Linked DNA regions of Caenorhabditis elegans. The protein of the gene in region 2 interacts with the protein of the main gene of each other region in a pairwise test. Each region holds a gene or a part of one and is shown on either strand. Other genes may lie near its edges. The genes, in order: crim-1, K08E7.5 and abu-10.

Region 1 (5,460 bases), on a different chromosome or scaffold from region 2:
TGACTCTATTAATTTCTTTTTGACAATATCTGTTCAAGAAGAGAATGCCTTCTAGCACACCTGATTGCTCCGTTCGGAGAAAATTGACAAATGAGAAGAGAAGTAGAAAGACGCAGACGACTAGTTGCATTCTCGAGCTGTAAATATAGTGAGTAGGAGAAAGAGGATTAGAGCACAAAAATACACAAAAATCACATGGAAAAAAGAAAGAAGGATTTGAAAACATGAGAACATCTGATCAGGTGGACACCGAGAAGATACTTGGTGATGACTGAAGAACAAAAAAGTTGCAGATGACAGGGTCAATTTCAAGTTGGTCAAGGCATATGAACCATTTTTATGCATTTCAAAGCAAAAATCAACTGGTACACATTACGATGAAAGGCGTTTTATGGAAGTGGCAAGTTACAATATGCAGAAAAACAAAGTACAATTTATACATTATAAGCAATGGATTCGGTTTGTCTAAATTGAAACAACAGATATTACATAGTGAAACCAAATTCATTGCAGTTAATATAGAAAATAATGAAAGGCATTTTTATTTTGAAGTTTCAAACAAGTTTATTTTTATTTGTTGAAAATAATTTTTGTATATCAAATTTTTCTGATTTTTCCTTGTTATTTAAGCACAGAAATGTCGGGAATAGCCATTTTGAAATTTCAAAGTATGTACACATAATTTTTGATATATACTAAGACATTTTCAAATTCAAATGAGAAGCAGAAAGATTTGCCGATGACAAAAATAGAAAAAAAAATTTCATGAAAAGAAGCTTAACCATTACTAATCTCCAAGACACCAAGCTCTTCTTTCCGTAAAAAAATTATCGAAATGATTTACGTCGTCCCGCATATGGCCAACTCTATGCAACACTTGAAGACAAAGTAGGCGGAGTCAATTGAGGGAGACAGAGGTTAGACACTTCTCGAAACTCTGTTCTTTTTCGGTGTCGCGCAATTGGTTAGTCATTCGTTCCGTTTTTTTTTTTTGAAATTTTCTGTTTCCTATGCAATCATAATTCGAAAATTGAATTAAAGTTTGATGGCATCTTGAACGAAACAACACGGAATAGACAAATACAGGAAGGAGTACATTTTTGAACTGAAAATCCAGACAAAACCAAATGTGCTTGAGCATAAAATAATTCGAGATCAGGTTGAGACGGAAATTCTACAACAAGGCCGATCGTGGCTCGTTGTTCCATTATATTTCAGTAAAAATGTAGAAAATGTTTTAATAATCTATAAACTTTTCATTTTGAGTTAAAGGAGTTGGGAGGTGCTTAATGATGGCTTAAAATCTTCCAATTACCAAACATTGGAACAACATGCCGCAATCAAGAATTTTCTAGCTCACTCCTTTTCTAGATCTTGAAAGAAATTGATAAAAACAATTTATTTTTGAACAATCTAAGTATTTTTTAACAACATTCAAGTTTTGGTATGCTCAGAATCCTTGCAATATTTCAATTACTTGATATCCCCATTGCCTACATTGTCCGATTTTTTATCCACAACAAGATCGTTTCAATTCTCAAGTTAGTCCAACCCATTTTCTACCTTTGCAAGCCGCCCTATCTGCGGACACAACATAGAGGACTTTTTGGTTAAAAAACTGCGGGCAGAGTGAAGTAAAGTAAATAGAAATTGTATATTCGGGAGAGCAGGGTGGATTGCGTCGTCCGGCGAGCACACACGAGAAGCCTCAGCACAAGAGAACCGCCACCATTTTGAGAAGTCATTTTTTATAGGAAGAGAAAATGAAAGAGAGAGAGAGATAGAGAGACTGAGAAGAAACCCTATCAAATTTCAGCAATAAAATAAGCCCAATAGTAACTCTAGAGCACCCTTTTCTTTTTAATTAGGAAGCATTCTGGACCTCGAAAAAACAACCAAAGTTCTTTCAAATCGAATGAAACATGCAAAGGGACTTTGAAATATTGAAGAAAATATACCTTTACATCGACTTGAACCATCAAGATCGTTTTCCTGATGACATGAAAGATGCGAATCACAAACAAGACCAGGCCCGTCGCAAGTTTCACCGATTTGTCGAATGCAGACCTGCAAGTATAACTTTTTGTTTATTGTTTGAAAGCCGTTAAAAAAGACCGCACATACTTTTTTATAGACTTTTGACTTATGTTTAAGTTTATTCAGTGTATTTCTTTTTGTAGAAACAAAATTATAACTAAAACCGCGGTTTAAAAACCGAAAGTAAGATTTAAGGGACAGTTATTATCATTTGAAACTTAGAAAGTTGAACCACTTTCAAAGCAATTAGGATTATTTTTAATGTACCGTGTTTCCTCTATTAGTAAAAAAAGTACTAATTATCGGGAACCTATCTATGTGCAATTTCATTATAGGAATAAGAGGAATAAGAGCTCTAAGAGGATACACGGTATCTGAATTATGCGTTTCTATCAAACGGTTCTTCGTTTTGGTACTGATTTGACTGTGTAGCATAATACATTAAAGCTCATCTTTATTCAGTTGTTTCACTGAGCATTTGATCCTTTCATTTGTTCATTTGATCATTGTCCAATAATAATTAAGTTATTGGGGATTTATGATAATAGTTAGAATTTTAGTCATGAGAAATTGTGGAAAATTATTTCAAAAGCTCACATTCAATGTTCTGGAATTTTAAAAAGAAAATTAAAACTGAGGAACTAGAATATTAAAATTAATTTTAAAAATAAGTTTTAAAGAATTGTTAAACCATAGTTCGTTTTCTATCAAAATTTTAAATTACTCACTTCGCAGCAATCGCACTGATCCTTTTTCAATTGCTCGCATCCTGAAACATCTGGACATGAATCCTTGTCACATGTCCCGCACAATGTGGTCTTTTGGTTTTTTGCATTGGAAATGATAAGAAATGTGAAGAGTAAAATAATACTACTTGACCACTGCATTTCAACAATTCTGCATAACCGTTTTTGCCGTTCAGCGGAGAAGCCGCGTGATGAACGGCCCACAAGCTCTGCAAAGAAAAATATGAAAATTGTAGTCATGTATATAAATTTTTTGTCGATTTTTTTGGGACCATGTAACTAAGATTTCAATTCAAATGAAAAAGTAAGTAAAACGAGAAACAGAGAGACCGTCTCGTAGTGTCCCAATTTGAAATGAACTGTGTCTGTGCAGGCCCCGCCTTTGAAAATCGAACTGCGCGGGATCTTCACGACGGTAAAGCACAAGAATCAGAGAGGTTATAGACAACGAAAGTGATCCGAGTCGATCGGTGAAGAAGCTGCACTGTCAAAGAGAAAGAACACAAGCGAGCAAGCAGGGAGACGAAAAAAGGTCTGTTGACATTGGGCGAAAGACAAAATGATGAAGGTGCGCGGAGACAGAAAGATGGTAGCAGAAGCTCGTAGTATACCGAACTGGCGCCCGATGGATTAGAACACTTTGTTTTGCAATTCAATAGAAAGAAACAACAACATAATTAAGAAGAAACACTCAGTTCATTTGACAAAGGAGACCTAGTTCCGTGTTATAACATTGATAATGACTTTCATCAAAGATTCTAAGTTTATTCATGTTTACTTTAGAAACTAGAACCAGATCAAACAAAAAAAAATAGGTGGATGTTCCTATGCTACCTACTCAAAAGAACAGTTTTTACTTAACTATTTGTTTTATTCCACAGTTTTTCAAGAGAAGAGAAGTTATCTAGTTTTCAAAAATAACAAGTGATTTTATTACTGATAAAACTATTACGTCTCGTGCAAAATGTTCATTTGAAGAATTCAACTTTCAAATGATTCCGGAATTATCTTCAACGTTCACTAAAGAATTTACCGTTTGAAATGCAGAAAAAAAGAATATTGAGGAGCAGGAAACCTGGAATATTTGAAATCTGGAGAAAATGAAACCCTGAAAAACACACAGAAAACTGGTCGCTAAGCGTGTCAACCTTACAAAAAGATTACGGTACTTTCCCTATTAGCCTTGTACATTTAATGCTCTATCTTGGCAGCTCATATTTGGTTATCCTTGGTATTATCACAAATTTTGTCAATACTAAAATATCAAAAAGTAATTGGCACCAAATTTATGTGCTACATTTTTAAGCCGAAGAAAACCTAGAAATAGTTTCTTAAAGTATATCAATAAGGGTAGTGCTATATTTTGTGGTATTCTATTGAGAAGTTTCCAATTAATTAGGAAGACATGCCAATCAGCCGAATGATCGAAGAGCATTCAAATCGTATTAAATTTGAAATAATACTTCTTTAACTTTAAAAAAGTACACAATGTTCCACAAAAAACGATTCTTATGAAAACTCAATAAAAATCGCCTGGTTTAGGCCATAGTAAATTTTTTATGTGTTCAAAATGCTCTTATCAACTTGAGTGAACGAGGACAAGAAAATAGACAAAAAACGAGTCGATGAGAGATGGAAAAGGAAACATTGAAACCATTTAGATTATGCGGGTCTAGACGGGAAAAGGTAAAAAAACGTCTCATGGAGGTCTCATTGAAATACATGCTGCCTCAAATAAGAAACCGGTAAGGAACGGTGTGATAAAAGATAGAAAATGAGATGAATGTATGGTAAAGAAGGAGAGGTGTTTTGTTATTAGTGAGGGTGTAAAAATATTAGAAGAGGAATTTCAGAGATAGAGGAGAAAGAGTGGAACGGAATGCCTTTTCAGCAAAAATTCCCTTTCTTCTCTTGTAGCTCGGTAATTTTTTATCACAAACACTTCATCGACGTCTTTCACTAAAAAAAGAAAAAAAGAAAACAGTTTGAAACTATCGAGAAAGGATGATGATCGAGAGGATGATTGGCGTGAAGGTGAGAAGATTGATTACAGTGTATATTGGCGTCGAAATGTCTCTTCGGTATATTTCTCCTTTTGCCTTCGAAAGGAAAAAATGACAAGAGGTTAGAAAATGGAATGTGTTTGACTCATTTTCATGGTTATCAGTAGAATGTCGATCAGCTGCGGGTGCTCGAAGAGCAAGCATCATCGGTAGCCAAAAAGTGACGAGAAATTGGAATGATGGACAGGAAACGGAAGGGCAAGAAAATATTTATGGAACAATAAAATGAAGTTTATGTCGAAATTGAAAAGTTTTGAAATTTGAAATATATTTTCTAGTATCAGCTCGTGTGTTTTAATACGGTAAGTTATACGAGGTACGTCTCAGAGAAAATTCCAAAATTATCAAATGCTTTCGGTTCTAGAAGCTTGCTTCCCAGTTTTCTGTAAAAAGAAAGTTTAAACACTTTGGATAACACTGGTTCTAATGGATTATATAAATTTCCAAAACCTTTTGTACCAAGTTATCGAAAGAAACTTTTAATTCGAAAATAGCTAGAAAGTTTTGTTTCCACGAAGAAACAAAATGCCTACTTCTGTGCCTAGAAGGCAGAAATAACTCGCCTTGAATGGGAGAATAGTTATGTATCACTCTTTCCTAGTTCAAATTATCTA
Region 2 (5,460 bases):
TCCAGGTGGACTATTAGACGTGCTCGGATTGGTGCCGGGTGCTTGCTTCGGTAAGAGCACAGAACTTTCTGATGATGGCTCTAAAAAGTCGGGTGATGTGGAGACATGGTGAGTGATTGTGCTTGACTCTTGTGGTGATGGTGCAGGTGGTGAATTGAGCGTGGAGTATTTTGTATATTGATGATCTGGTCCTTCCTTGAAACTCGGGACTTGACGTTCATATCCAATTGGCCCTGTTGGTGACGATGGTGCAAAGTAATCAATCTTAGAAGGAGTAATAGCGGTTCTTGAAATTGCATCAGATCCCTTTGGATTCTCTCGGTGTCTTATTGAAACATTTTGTGGACGTCCAGGCCCGCCGGATTCATATCCTGATTGGGAGGCTAACCGATCTGTTTGAGGGTTCTGAGAGTTAGACCGAGGTTCGGTGCCAGGTGCCTGCTTTGGTGTAAGCATAATATTTTCTGCATATGGTGATGGTTCTGAAAACTTGGGTGCTATGGTGATAATTGGTGTTTGTACGTGGTGAGTGGTAGTGCTGTGAAGACTTGGCTCCGGACCAGGTGCTCTGGCATTTTTCATGAGATGTGCTGCAGTTTGTTGAGGTGCTTGGAGTGAGTTAGGTGATTTTGTGCCACTAGCTTTTGTCCGAGTTGTCTCCTGCGGGCCATCTTCATAATCCCTTGGCCTTGGCTGTGTAAGTACATGTTGTGAATTAGATGTTAAGGGTGTTGAAAATGGAGGATCAGACCTTTCCTTCGAGCTTGATGCGTATTCAATTGACACTGCTGATGGTTTAGTGTAGTCCGTGATATTAGGAATTTGGGCTCTTGAGTTTGCTCCAGACACCGCTGGGTATCCAGATTCGTATTCTGGCTTCTGGGTGCTCGAGTTGTCTGAGTAAGGATTCTGAGAGCTATACCGAGCTTCAGACTTAGGTTCGGTCCCAGGAGCCTTTCCTCTGCTAGTAGAAGATCTTGATGTTTCAGTGCTGTTTGGTGCAAAAGTGTGCTGAGTGGTGGTGAGCGGTGCTGTGGGGTTACCTGCCATATTTGAACCACGTGAAGCTGAAGAGCTTGGCTTTGTACCTGGTACATCTGTGAGCTCTTTGTAGTCATTCGACGATGGAATAGAACCATCTTGCTCATACTGGTTTTCAGATGGCTCAGCGCTAGGAGCACTTCCCTCCGGATACCCGGAAGCATGATCATCTGACCATTTGGAACTTTTCTCAGATGATCCTTTGTTTGGTGCATCCTTCTTCTTTTGAATCAATTGGGTTAAAAGGTTTTGTGGTGCAGATGGATGCGGTGGAGGTGGATCATGCAGTTTGGGAGGGTCTGTGCAAAAGTTGGGATTATTAGTGGTAGAGTGCCGTGCTGGTTTTAAAGACAGTTTGATAATCTGGCTAACTTTGAATTTTGCGCTTATATGTCCACTTGTGCGCTATTTTGCGCTTATATGTCGATGACAATGGCCACTACATGTATTCAGAAGACCTATCTTTATTTGAACTCCAAAAGTTGAAAAAGGCAGTACACAAAATCTACAATGTGACATGTGACACTACTAGAAAATTGTTTTCAGATGTTAAATATTTAGAACGTTAGTTTTACATATTCTCTAGATACTCAATTATATTTTCCTATTCCAAATACCTTTCTTATCCTCCCCGGTGGCTGTGGCAGAACTTCCCCCGCCGTAAAGTAAATCCAAATTATCAGTGCTCTCCGATTGGTCGGATCCGGATTCCGGATCATTTTCTGGTGCTCTAGATGGCGCTGGTGGTGCAGTGGTGGTTGATATTATATTTGTGATAGTGACAGGTGTTTTGGTGGTTTTGTGCAGCTTTGATGGATCTGGAGTGAAGTTTTATAAAACACGTGTGTGTGAAACCACTATTTAGGTGTTCTGGTGCATAGGTGAGATATTTCTACGTGGCCACAAAACTCAACTTTCCACCAACCTTTAGTACTACTGCTCGGCGACACTTTTACTTTTTCTTCTTCTACGGGAGTAGTGGTAGGTTCTGGAGTGGGTGTTGTTGCAGGTTTCGACGTGGTTTTCTTGGGTCCAGATTCGGCTCCGGACGCTAAATAACCACTATTTCCTGGGTCTTCTGGAGATTCACGGTCTGTTGAGATGGACGCGATCGACTGGAACGCTGGCATTTTTCCGCTGCCTGCGGAGGGTGGGACTGAAAATTAGAAGGAAGTTATTGACAGGCTATTCTGATTTTGCTACATGACTGCCGAGAAATGATAATCTGGAAATGAAACGTAATATAAAGTGCAAGATAAACTCGGCCAACATTTACAGGGAAAAATTGATAATAATTTGGAAAATAAATTTCAAAAATTGCATATTTTTTCTAACGTACCCTTCTTTGGCTCCTTTTCATAATAAAAATCATATCCGGTCCATGTGCTTTCATATGGATTTTTGGGCACTTCCATATCATTACCAGCTCGTGTTTCTTCTTCTGGATAGGTCCCTGGCGCACTTGCAAACCCTAGAACATTGTGTCCTTCTAGTAATAGTACTAGAAGGACAACTAGATGTATCAAAAGCCTTCGCATATGGAATTGATCTAGAATATCTGTGTTTAGTTTTTATTGAAAAATTGAAAGTTGCAGACAGGATAGAAAGAAGGGTTTTGACTTTACAATTTCTAGGAGCAAACTATTTTTTAAGAAATTATATCAAAGTTTAATTGGTAGAATCCAGAACAATAGTGATATAGCCTTTCAGAATTTAGGAACAAACTAAAAATAAAAAAGGAAACAAATCAAAAACTAAAATGACGGACTGATATTAAAAACTCTAGTACCTAAATTGAAGACTTTGCCTTTTTATGCCCAAAATGACCAAAAACTACCGCGTTTAATGAAACGTTTTGAAAATTTCTCAAAAAAAAGTTAAAAAGTTAGTGGGACACAAAAATGTAACTTTTATTTAGACCCCACTGACCGAAAATGTACTTAAATAAACGAATAAACTTATAATAACAGATTTACACTAGTTTTCAAAATGTTCCAACGAAAATAAACAAAAAAAAACTTAAATGACACATAGAAGGGTCAAACCGAAAGCATGTCAAAAATCTCGAGAAAGAGAAATTTCCGAATCCACCGGTATTTCTTGATTTGTGAACTGGCTAATCGACAAGTTTCCCCTTCTTCTCTGGATCGGAAAAGGAAACCGACAGGCAAGAAGGAGAAGGAGAATGTTGAAAAAAGAAGAATCCATTATCATTTAGCCCTTCTATGAAACATGGCTAACGGGATAAGCAGTGATAATGGACTTTGATTATTTTCTGATTTATTGGAAATAATTGGGGTGTGGTCTGTGGAAAATGTGATCTCTTATGGAACGAATAACTCCGTTGGGATAGGAGTTGGAAAAATATTGTCAACTGACAAAATATTTTTGAGACAATTTTGATTATTTTGATAGTTGACAATATTTTTGTATCTCTTACAGGTACTGAGTTATTAAGGATTCAAAAATCAGCAAGTTTACAAATAGAAGTAGACATTTTACCAGGGGGAGTATACAAGAACGAAGTGAAAAACTGGACATGCAACTTTGAACCATTGTTTACTGTTTTTGAAAGTAATTTTTACCTAATTTTCCAAAAACAGAGTAAATTATGATTTTTTTTGCGATGTGGCCGGGAATAAATAACAACTCGGCCACCAACTTTTTCGCTTCAATTTTGAAAATTTTTGAAAATGTCAGAAATGTTAGATAAAACTATACTAGAAAAATATCTGCAAGCTTATTACGATGAGATATCTGAAAGACAGAAAAAAAACGTGTACAGACCGCCCATATCATCTCTCGGTCTTGTCCAGAAGATGGACGTCATGCAGATGTTGCATAACAATGAAATTTGACAGGGGAAAAATAATATAACGTAATCGACGTGCTTGATCTCTTAGAGAATCGGGTTTTTGTCTATATTTTTTTATTATCGTCTGCGCATATTATTTTTTATTTTCCCTTCGGATATATTTTTGAGGAAACTTTGGAAGAGAAGGGGGCAGCGAACCAGAGAATCTTAATTTAATAAGATGTGATCTTCTGGGAAAATAGGACTTTGCACCATCTAATAAAAATATATGCTGTATTTCCTCTATTAGTCTCTATTAGTCTTGCACCCCACGGACCAATTGAAAATTAGTCTTTCATTTTATTTAATGCGAAAAGGTTTGCGTCTCTAAAGAGTACTGTAATTTCAAACTCTCGTCGCTACCGCTGTGATTAAGAAATTGCCGGCCCAGGTGTTGCAAAAAAAATTGCCCACATTTGCCAAAATTTACAGGATGTTGAAAAATGCTTTCAGATGCTGCCAAATATTTCAGAAAAAATACTGAAAATTGCTGGAAGGCCGGTTCTTTCAGAATTTCAATTTTAATCGGCAAAATTGTACGCATCCTATGATTTTTCCTACGTCTATTTTGAAAAGTAAACAAGTTCTATGAAAATATCTAAAGAAAACGGGAAGAAATTTTCAAAAAGGCACAATTTTAAACGCTTCCATCTTATAAAAAGTCCCTCCAAAACTTCCGGCAAATCGGCAAACCGGCAATTCAATTTTTCCAATTTGCCAAACGGCAGTTGCCGCCCATCTCTGTCACAAAGTATATGTTAATGTAGAACCAAATTTCTAAACTTTAAACTCATTAAAAATGAAAAAAAAAACCAATTTGAAAACTATTAACGCGAACCGAAAATGTGTTTTGTGATAGAAAATTTGAAAAATTTCAACCTTCGAACTTTGAATTTCCGTGAACATTTCTTCCCCTTACAATTTCTCATATATAAAGCCTCCGAAAATCTACAAAATTCATATTTTCTCACTTTACAAGATTCAAAACCTCTCGGAAGCGAAAAAAGAATAATGATCTCGCAAGTGAGTTTTCTGTCAGGATTCTGATATTTTCCAAACCTCTCGCTTCCAGATCATTTTGCTATTAACTCTCAATATCTTGCCATTTGTGCTGGTCCATTGTGGGAGCAAGAAGAAAACAGTGGCTCCAAAACCGGTCGCTAAACTTATGGCAGCACCTGCTGGAGGAGTCGGAAAAAGCGACTCATTCGATTCGAAGAAACAAGACGTTCCATCGTCAAAGAAGGATGAACCAGTGGCTCCAAAGAAAGAAGATGTGAGTTATTTTTGGCATATTTTAAAAGACAAAACGAACGTTTTTAGGAGGGCAACTACGAGGAGCTCGCCATCCCACAATAGTCCTCAATGTATCCTAATAAATTTTTTGAAATTCCCCCTTTTCTGTGTTATTAAAGCATAGAAGAAAATAAATACATATAGATAAATCATCGTCAAAATTTATGGAACAAAACGAACATCGAGAATTTCAATTCAACCAGAATTGTAAAATAACATTTAGAAAAATGATGATAATGACACAAGAATTCGGTGAGCGGGGAGGAATG
Region 3 (5,460 bases), on a different chromosome or scaffold from region 2:
TGATCCCTTTGTGCAAACACCTAGTACACGATAAGAAAAAGTCAAAACCTTCACGCATCCACTCTAAAAAAAACAAGCGTGCAACTAGTCTTGGCGACTACAGTCATGACAAGATATATCGGCTTGAGAATCAACAATTGTAAAGGCTCTTGATTAGATGTGAGAAACTCGTTGATGTTCAACGATCAAACAAACATCTACTATCTAATAACTGAAAAAGTCTTACCTCTGTACTTAAGCATTGGCTGAAAATTGAATACAATACTATATAAGCTCCAGTGTTCAGACGAAACATGTGTGGAAAGTATATTAATTGTAACTAGCGCAGACCGTTTTATATTCGGGTCAGTTTCAATGTTTGCGTTTGGGTTCCGTGACAAGATGGACCGGACTATATCCAGAATGCTTAGTCATAATAGTTCGTTTCGTGAATTCTGAAGTGTAAGGAGAAAGTTTCTGTAAGAAATTCAATACAAACTAAATTCGAATTAAATGAATATGTTTTTGCTTCTTTTCTTTTTTTAAATTAAAAAGAATTTTCTTTAATTCAATTATATGAGCTTGTTTTCAGCGGGATGTTCAATATTTGCAGCAATATTTGTTGCAAGATTTGTGTATGCGAATGTGCACAAAGAGCAAAAAATCAAAGGTTCTATTTGATTACACACACTTGAAGATTGGACTACACTCATTTGCTGCTCATCTTTGATTATCAACCCCCCCCCCCCACAAAAAATTCTTGACTCATTGTTACTTATTTAATTTTTTGCTCGGCCTGGTGGTAGTTCAAATAAACGAAGCGGAGCACAATACGGGAATCCAGAATTGTATCGCGTGCAACTGTATACTTTTGAGTTGAATTGGGAGAAGGTGGAAAAAATGTCGCAGACTATATTTTGGCAACTCTGGCGGAGAAAAAGAGCTCGGATAAAGATCATATAGCAAAATGGTGCTTGTGAACTTTGAACCAAATCCTGATGGAACGCTGGGAGACACTTTTTGGAAACACTACAATTGGCACATACTGATATGATTTCATGATTAAAAAATTGTTATGACAGTTTAAAAGTTGGAAATATATGACTAGATATATTATATTTTGCCAATTTATTTATGCAAAAATGGTCACAAGTTAATTTTTTTTTTAATAAATAGAAACCGTGTACTCCACTGACAATCAGGCAAAAAAAAAACAGTTTCTGGAAATAATAGAAGATTTTGTTATACTTTTGTAATAAAGTTACACGCACTAGTGGACAAAAATGAAGACTACAGCAAACTTCAGTCATTTTTTTTTTATTTTTGAAAACATTTTGAAAAATTTCAAAAAGTTTCTTACAAAATCTTTTCATCTTGTGAAAAGGCTTGCAGCTACACCGTAGATCCATATTTAAAAATAACAGAAGGTTTTGTTTTATAGAGAAACCATTCACAATAAATACTAATACCTTGATGTTAATTATGAAAAAGTCAGAACTCCATGTTTCTTACGTGAAAAAAAACACTGAAAAAAACATTGTTGACCATTTTCAGAAAATAAAATTTAATGGAAACATACTTTTAGTGAATGAGTATTTAATGTAAAACTAGATCACCCTCCCCCCCCCCCCCTCCCAGCAAACTTTTGAGCTCATCCCAATGGTCTGAAAACACGCATAATTCGAAAACGTTCCTCATCACATCAAACGAACATATATTTCAAGTACATGCGTTTTTGCGGGCACACTGATAAAACAGAGCCGGCACAGAGTGCTCACGTACCGGTTCTCGTACGTTGCTCAACTCTCCTGTAACATGACCACCCCTGAGCTTTTAATCCGATTCCGGCGCAACTTTTTGTGCTGCTTTCCTTCATCCTCAGACACAAACATTGCAACCTTTTATCCAGCCGGCAATCGAACTCAACTCAACCCCTCAACCGGTATCTAAAGTAAAGGCAAGCGGTCTGAGTAATGAAGAATGTGATAATTGGGGTTCTTTGTATTTGTTTGTTGGGAGGGAGAAGAATCAACGAGAGATTGTGCAAATGCAACAGCTGAAAGCGTTAACCAGTTTCTCAGCTTGTATTCTTCTATGACGCGGTCTCTATTTACGGACTATTTGCAAATAACGCATCACTTGAACTTTTCAATGCAAGTGTTCGGAGATTGAAAGTTCTGTGTCACTACATTCACGTATTGTTGAAAACTATAACGGATATATTACAAGACGGTCTAGACAAAAATTGGGAAAAAAAGCTCTACTGAAAATGGGATATTAAACTACTACCTTTCAGAAATACTTTCAGAACAATATTACTTGATACAAAAGAAAGATCTTCAAAATAGCTTGCTGGTACTCCAACTAAAAAGATATAATAATCAATTTTTTTTTTACAAATCGGTGCAAAATAGTCGTTCGTTTACTAGTCATGCTTTGAAAAAATTTAAGCTTAACAATGCAACCTAACCTCGATTTTTTTCAAATTAAATTACAATTTCAAATGAGAATAAAGAGAACCTTCTACAACTTGAACATTCTGTGAACTATTGGAAAACACTGGACATTGAATGAAACAAAATTTTTAAACATTCACATTTGCGACGTTGGGCCGTTATTTATTGTCTCGAAAGAGGAAAAAAATGTCTGACAAATTGGAAAAGTACAGTAGATTCAACTGTCACACTTTTTTGTAAAGTAGGGCCTAAAATTAGTAGACTCGAGTTTTGAATTGGTGAGCCAATATCTCTCTTGACACAATTGAAGTGTTTTTAAACTGGTTAGAAGACTAGACTGAAATATATTATAGCTAACATCACTTTGGATAGTATGCGTCTTCGGCAAAATTTCATGTGCGCAAGAAGCCAAAAACAAACAATGTTTATTTGTGTGCACGCATTTTTTCAGCACACGGTTTTCATTTTCTCTGACTAAACTTTTTTCCCCCTCCTTACCATATTCCCACAGGTGCTCTAATCCGATCATAACTACTCATCTGTGTTTGATGCACAATTGAAACTGCCTTCGTTCTTTTTTGTCGCCTGTTCTTGCGCATGCCGGTCTTACCCTCTTGCCATGACTCCTCCCGGCGGGCGCGTATAAATATGAGGAGCAAAAGTTGAGTTGTCAGTAGTAGCTTGGCTTCGAATACTCTCTAACAAAAGCAGCAATGTTCCGCTCTGCATTTTCAATTTTTGCTATTGTCGCCCTGGTGAGATTTCTTTTTTTTTTCATTCCATTTTATTTATAAATTCCCCGCCATTTTCAGGCACTTTCGGCACCAACTCTTAGAGAAAAGCGTCAGGCTTGCTCATGCGCCCCAGTTCAGCAGCAACCATCGTGCTGCCAACAATCCACCATCAATGTCCAGGTTCAGTACACTCAGGTCCAACAAGCTCCAGCTCAAGACCCATGTGCTTGCCAGCCACAGCAGCAGCAGCCTGCGTGCAACTGTGCTCCAGTTCAGCAAGATCCATGTGCTTGCCAGCCACAACAGCAGCAGCCGGCTTGTAACTGTGCTCCAGTTCAACAAGATCCATGCGCCTGCCAGCAACAGCAACCATCCTGCGATTGCGCTCCAGTTCAACAGCAACCAGCCTGTGACTGCCAGGTAGGCTGTTAATGTAAGAGCGACGAATAAAAGTAACCCATCTTTGCAGCCACAACAACAACCAGCCTGTGATTGTGCTCCAGTTGCTCAACAACCAGCTTGTGACTGCCAACAAAACCCATCATGTGTGACCTGCATCCAAATCGAGATCCGTCAGCAACAAGCTCAACAGCCAGCTTGCGATTGTGCTCCAGTTCAGCAGAACCCATGTTGCCAACAAGCTCAGGTACAATATATTTGGTAAATGTTGGATGAACTTTTGAAGTTTCAGCCAGCCTGTGATTGCGCTCCAGTCCAACAGCAACCATCTTGCGATTGCGCTCCAGTTCAACAGAACCCATGCTGCCAACAAGCTCAGGTATGGCATTTTGAACAATTTTTTTTAGTCCGGTAATTTCAGCCAGCCTGCGACTGTGCCCCAGTCCAACAGCAACCAGCCTGTGATTGTGCTCCAGTCCAGCAGAACCCATGCTGCCAACAACAGGCTCAGGTAAATCACACTCCAGAGTTTTCCATTAAGTTTGTGAATTACAGTCAACTTGCGACTGTGCCCCAGTTCAACAGAACCCGTGCTGCCAACAAGCTCAGCCAGCTTGTGATTGTGCCCCAGTTGTTCAGCAAAACCCATGCGCTTGCCAACAGGCTCAGGTAAAGACTATTGCTTTTTGACCAGTAAATTAACTATGGATATCTAAACTTCCAGCCATCCTGTGATTGCGCCCAACAAGCTCAGCCAACCTTCCAAGTCCAAGTTCAACAAGCGCAACCAATCAATCAGTGCGTCCCAGCTTGCCAGCCAGCTTGCCAGTCATCGTGCACCGCTTCGTACACCAACCAACAATCCCAACATTCGTCAGCTACTACTTCCTGCGATGCTAACCAATGCGTATGCCAACGCGGATACGTCAAGTGCGCCGAGCAGACCTGCTGTCTTAGATACAGATACACCAACCGCAAGGCAAAGCGATCGATCGCCTAAACGAACTCATTTCTGACCATGTCTTTCTTTTTCGACTTCACGCAAACTATTTGTACATTTCGGTAATATTATTGCCATTACATAAAGTAGTTTTATATTATTTCCTTTTACACAATGAGTATATGCAATGAAGATATAAATGAAAAAATGATTAAGAATCATTTCTATGATGTTCAAATTACCAATTTTCGTCTAAATTACAACAAAATCACTGAAAAAGATTTGAGAAAAATGCAATTTTCTTTTAGGAAACTCTATTTGAAGTTTGAAAACCAGAAGATTTTCACAAAGGGTTGGTTCTATCATTATCTAAAACAGCAATCGTAGAAGAGATTTGAGAGTTTTCTTCAAAACTAAACTTTTTATATTGTGTTCAATATTGTTAACGAATTTTTGATCTTTAAATTTCCCATTTATTTTAAATCTAAATAACCTATACAATAATAAGCGCATTTGAGGAGTCAAATAAATAGACACATTTCAATTGAGATCTTCCACAATAAATAAGACACCTTACTAAAACATTTTTGGCACATGAACAAAGTACTAAGACAATAAATTAATGAATGCAGCGTTTCTAGAGCAGCTCAATATAGCTGACAGGCAATTTTCCGCGTTTTCCTCCTTTTTCAGCCATCACATATTCCGCATCCATTCCAGGAAGGCGATACACGATGAGAATCTGCAACAAGAGCAGACGTAATTTCACACAATATTTGGTTTCAATAGGGGTCCTCCTCTCAAGACTCACATCATTCTGGGTGACGCTGATCTCTTGTGGCAGCACTGCATCGTAGTCCATGATCACTTTGGCTTGCTTGGTTCCCAAGTCATCCGGCAGTAGGCCACTTGGCTGGAAAATCAGTAATTTGAAGAGATGTTCGTGATGGGA

What was found.
Region 1: the proteins of K08E7.5 (region 2) and crim-1 interact in a two-hybrid assay, tested with the Caenorhabditis elegans proteins (2 studies listed by BioGRID).
Region 3: the proteins of K08E7.5 (region 2) and abu-10 interact in a two-hybrid assay, tested with the Caenorhabditis elegans proteins (2 studies listed by BioGRID).

The regions. Positions count from the first base shown.
Region 1 is NC_003283.11:10,329,121-10,334,580, forward strand, and holds the start of crim-1 (Cysteine-rich motor neuron 1 protein-like), read right to left. Parts: upstream 2,993-5,460; 5' UTR 2,925-2,992; coding exon 2,766-2,924; intron 2,068-2,765; coding exon 1,959-2,067; intron 1,717-1,958; exon of another isoform or gene 1,577-1,716; intron 134-1,576; exon of another isoform or gene 131-133; coding exon of another isoform or gene 61-130; intron 1-60.
Region 2 is NC_003282.8:12,570,500-12,575,959, reverse strand, and holds the start of K08E7.5 (Prion-like-(Q/N-rich)-domain-bearing protein), read right to left. Parts: upstream 2,593-5,460; 5' UTR 2,580-2,592; coding exon 2,381-2,579; intron 2,198-2,380; coding exon 1,967-2,197; intron 1,860-1,966; coding exon 1,659-1,859; intron 1,341-1,658; coding exon 1-1,340. Other genes in the region: K08E7.4 (uncharacterized protein), read left to right, coding at 4,907-4,918, 4,968-5,171, 5,219-5,254.
Region 3 is NC_003284.9:3,795,075-3,800,534, forward strand, and holds abu-10 (Activated in Blocked Unfolded protein response), read left to right. Parts: upstream 1-3,107; 5' UTR 3,108-3,148; coding exon 3,149-3,190; intron 3,191-3,247; coding exon 3,248-3,589; intron 3,590-3,638; coding exon 3,639-3,815; intron 3,816-3,860; coding exon 3,861-3,947; intron 3,948-3,989; coding exon 3,990-4,079; intron 4,080-4,123; coding exon 4,124-4,237; intron 4,238-4,292; coding exon 4,293-4,568; 3' UTR 4,569-4,667; downstream 4,668-5,460. Other genes in the region: F35A5.5 (uncharacterized protein), read right to left, coding at 227-295; F35A5.8 (SH3 domain-containing GRB2-like protein B1), read right to left, coding at 5,146-5,250, 5,320-5,421.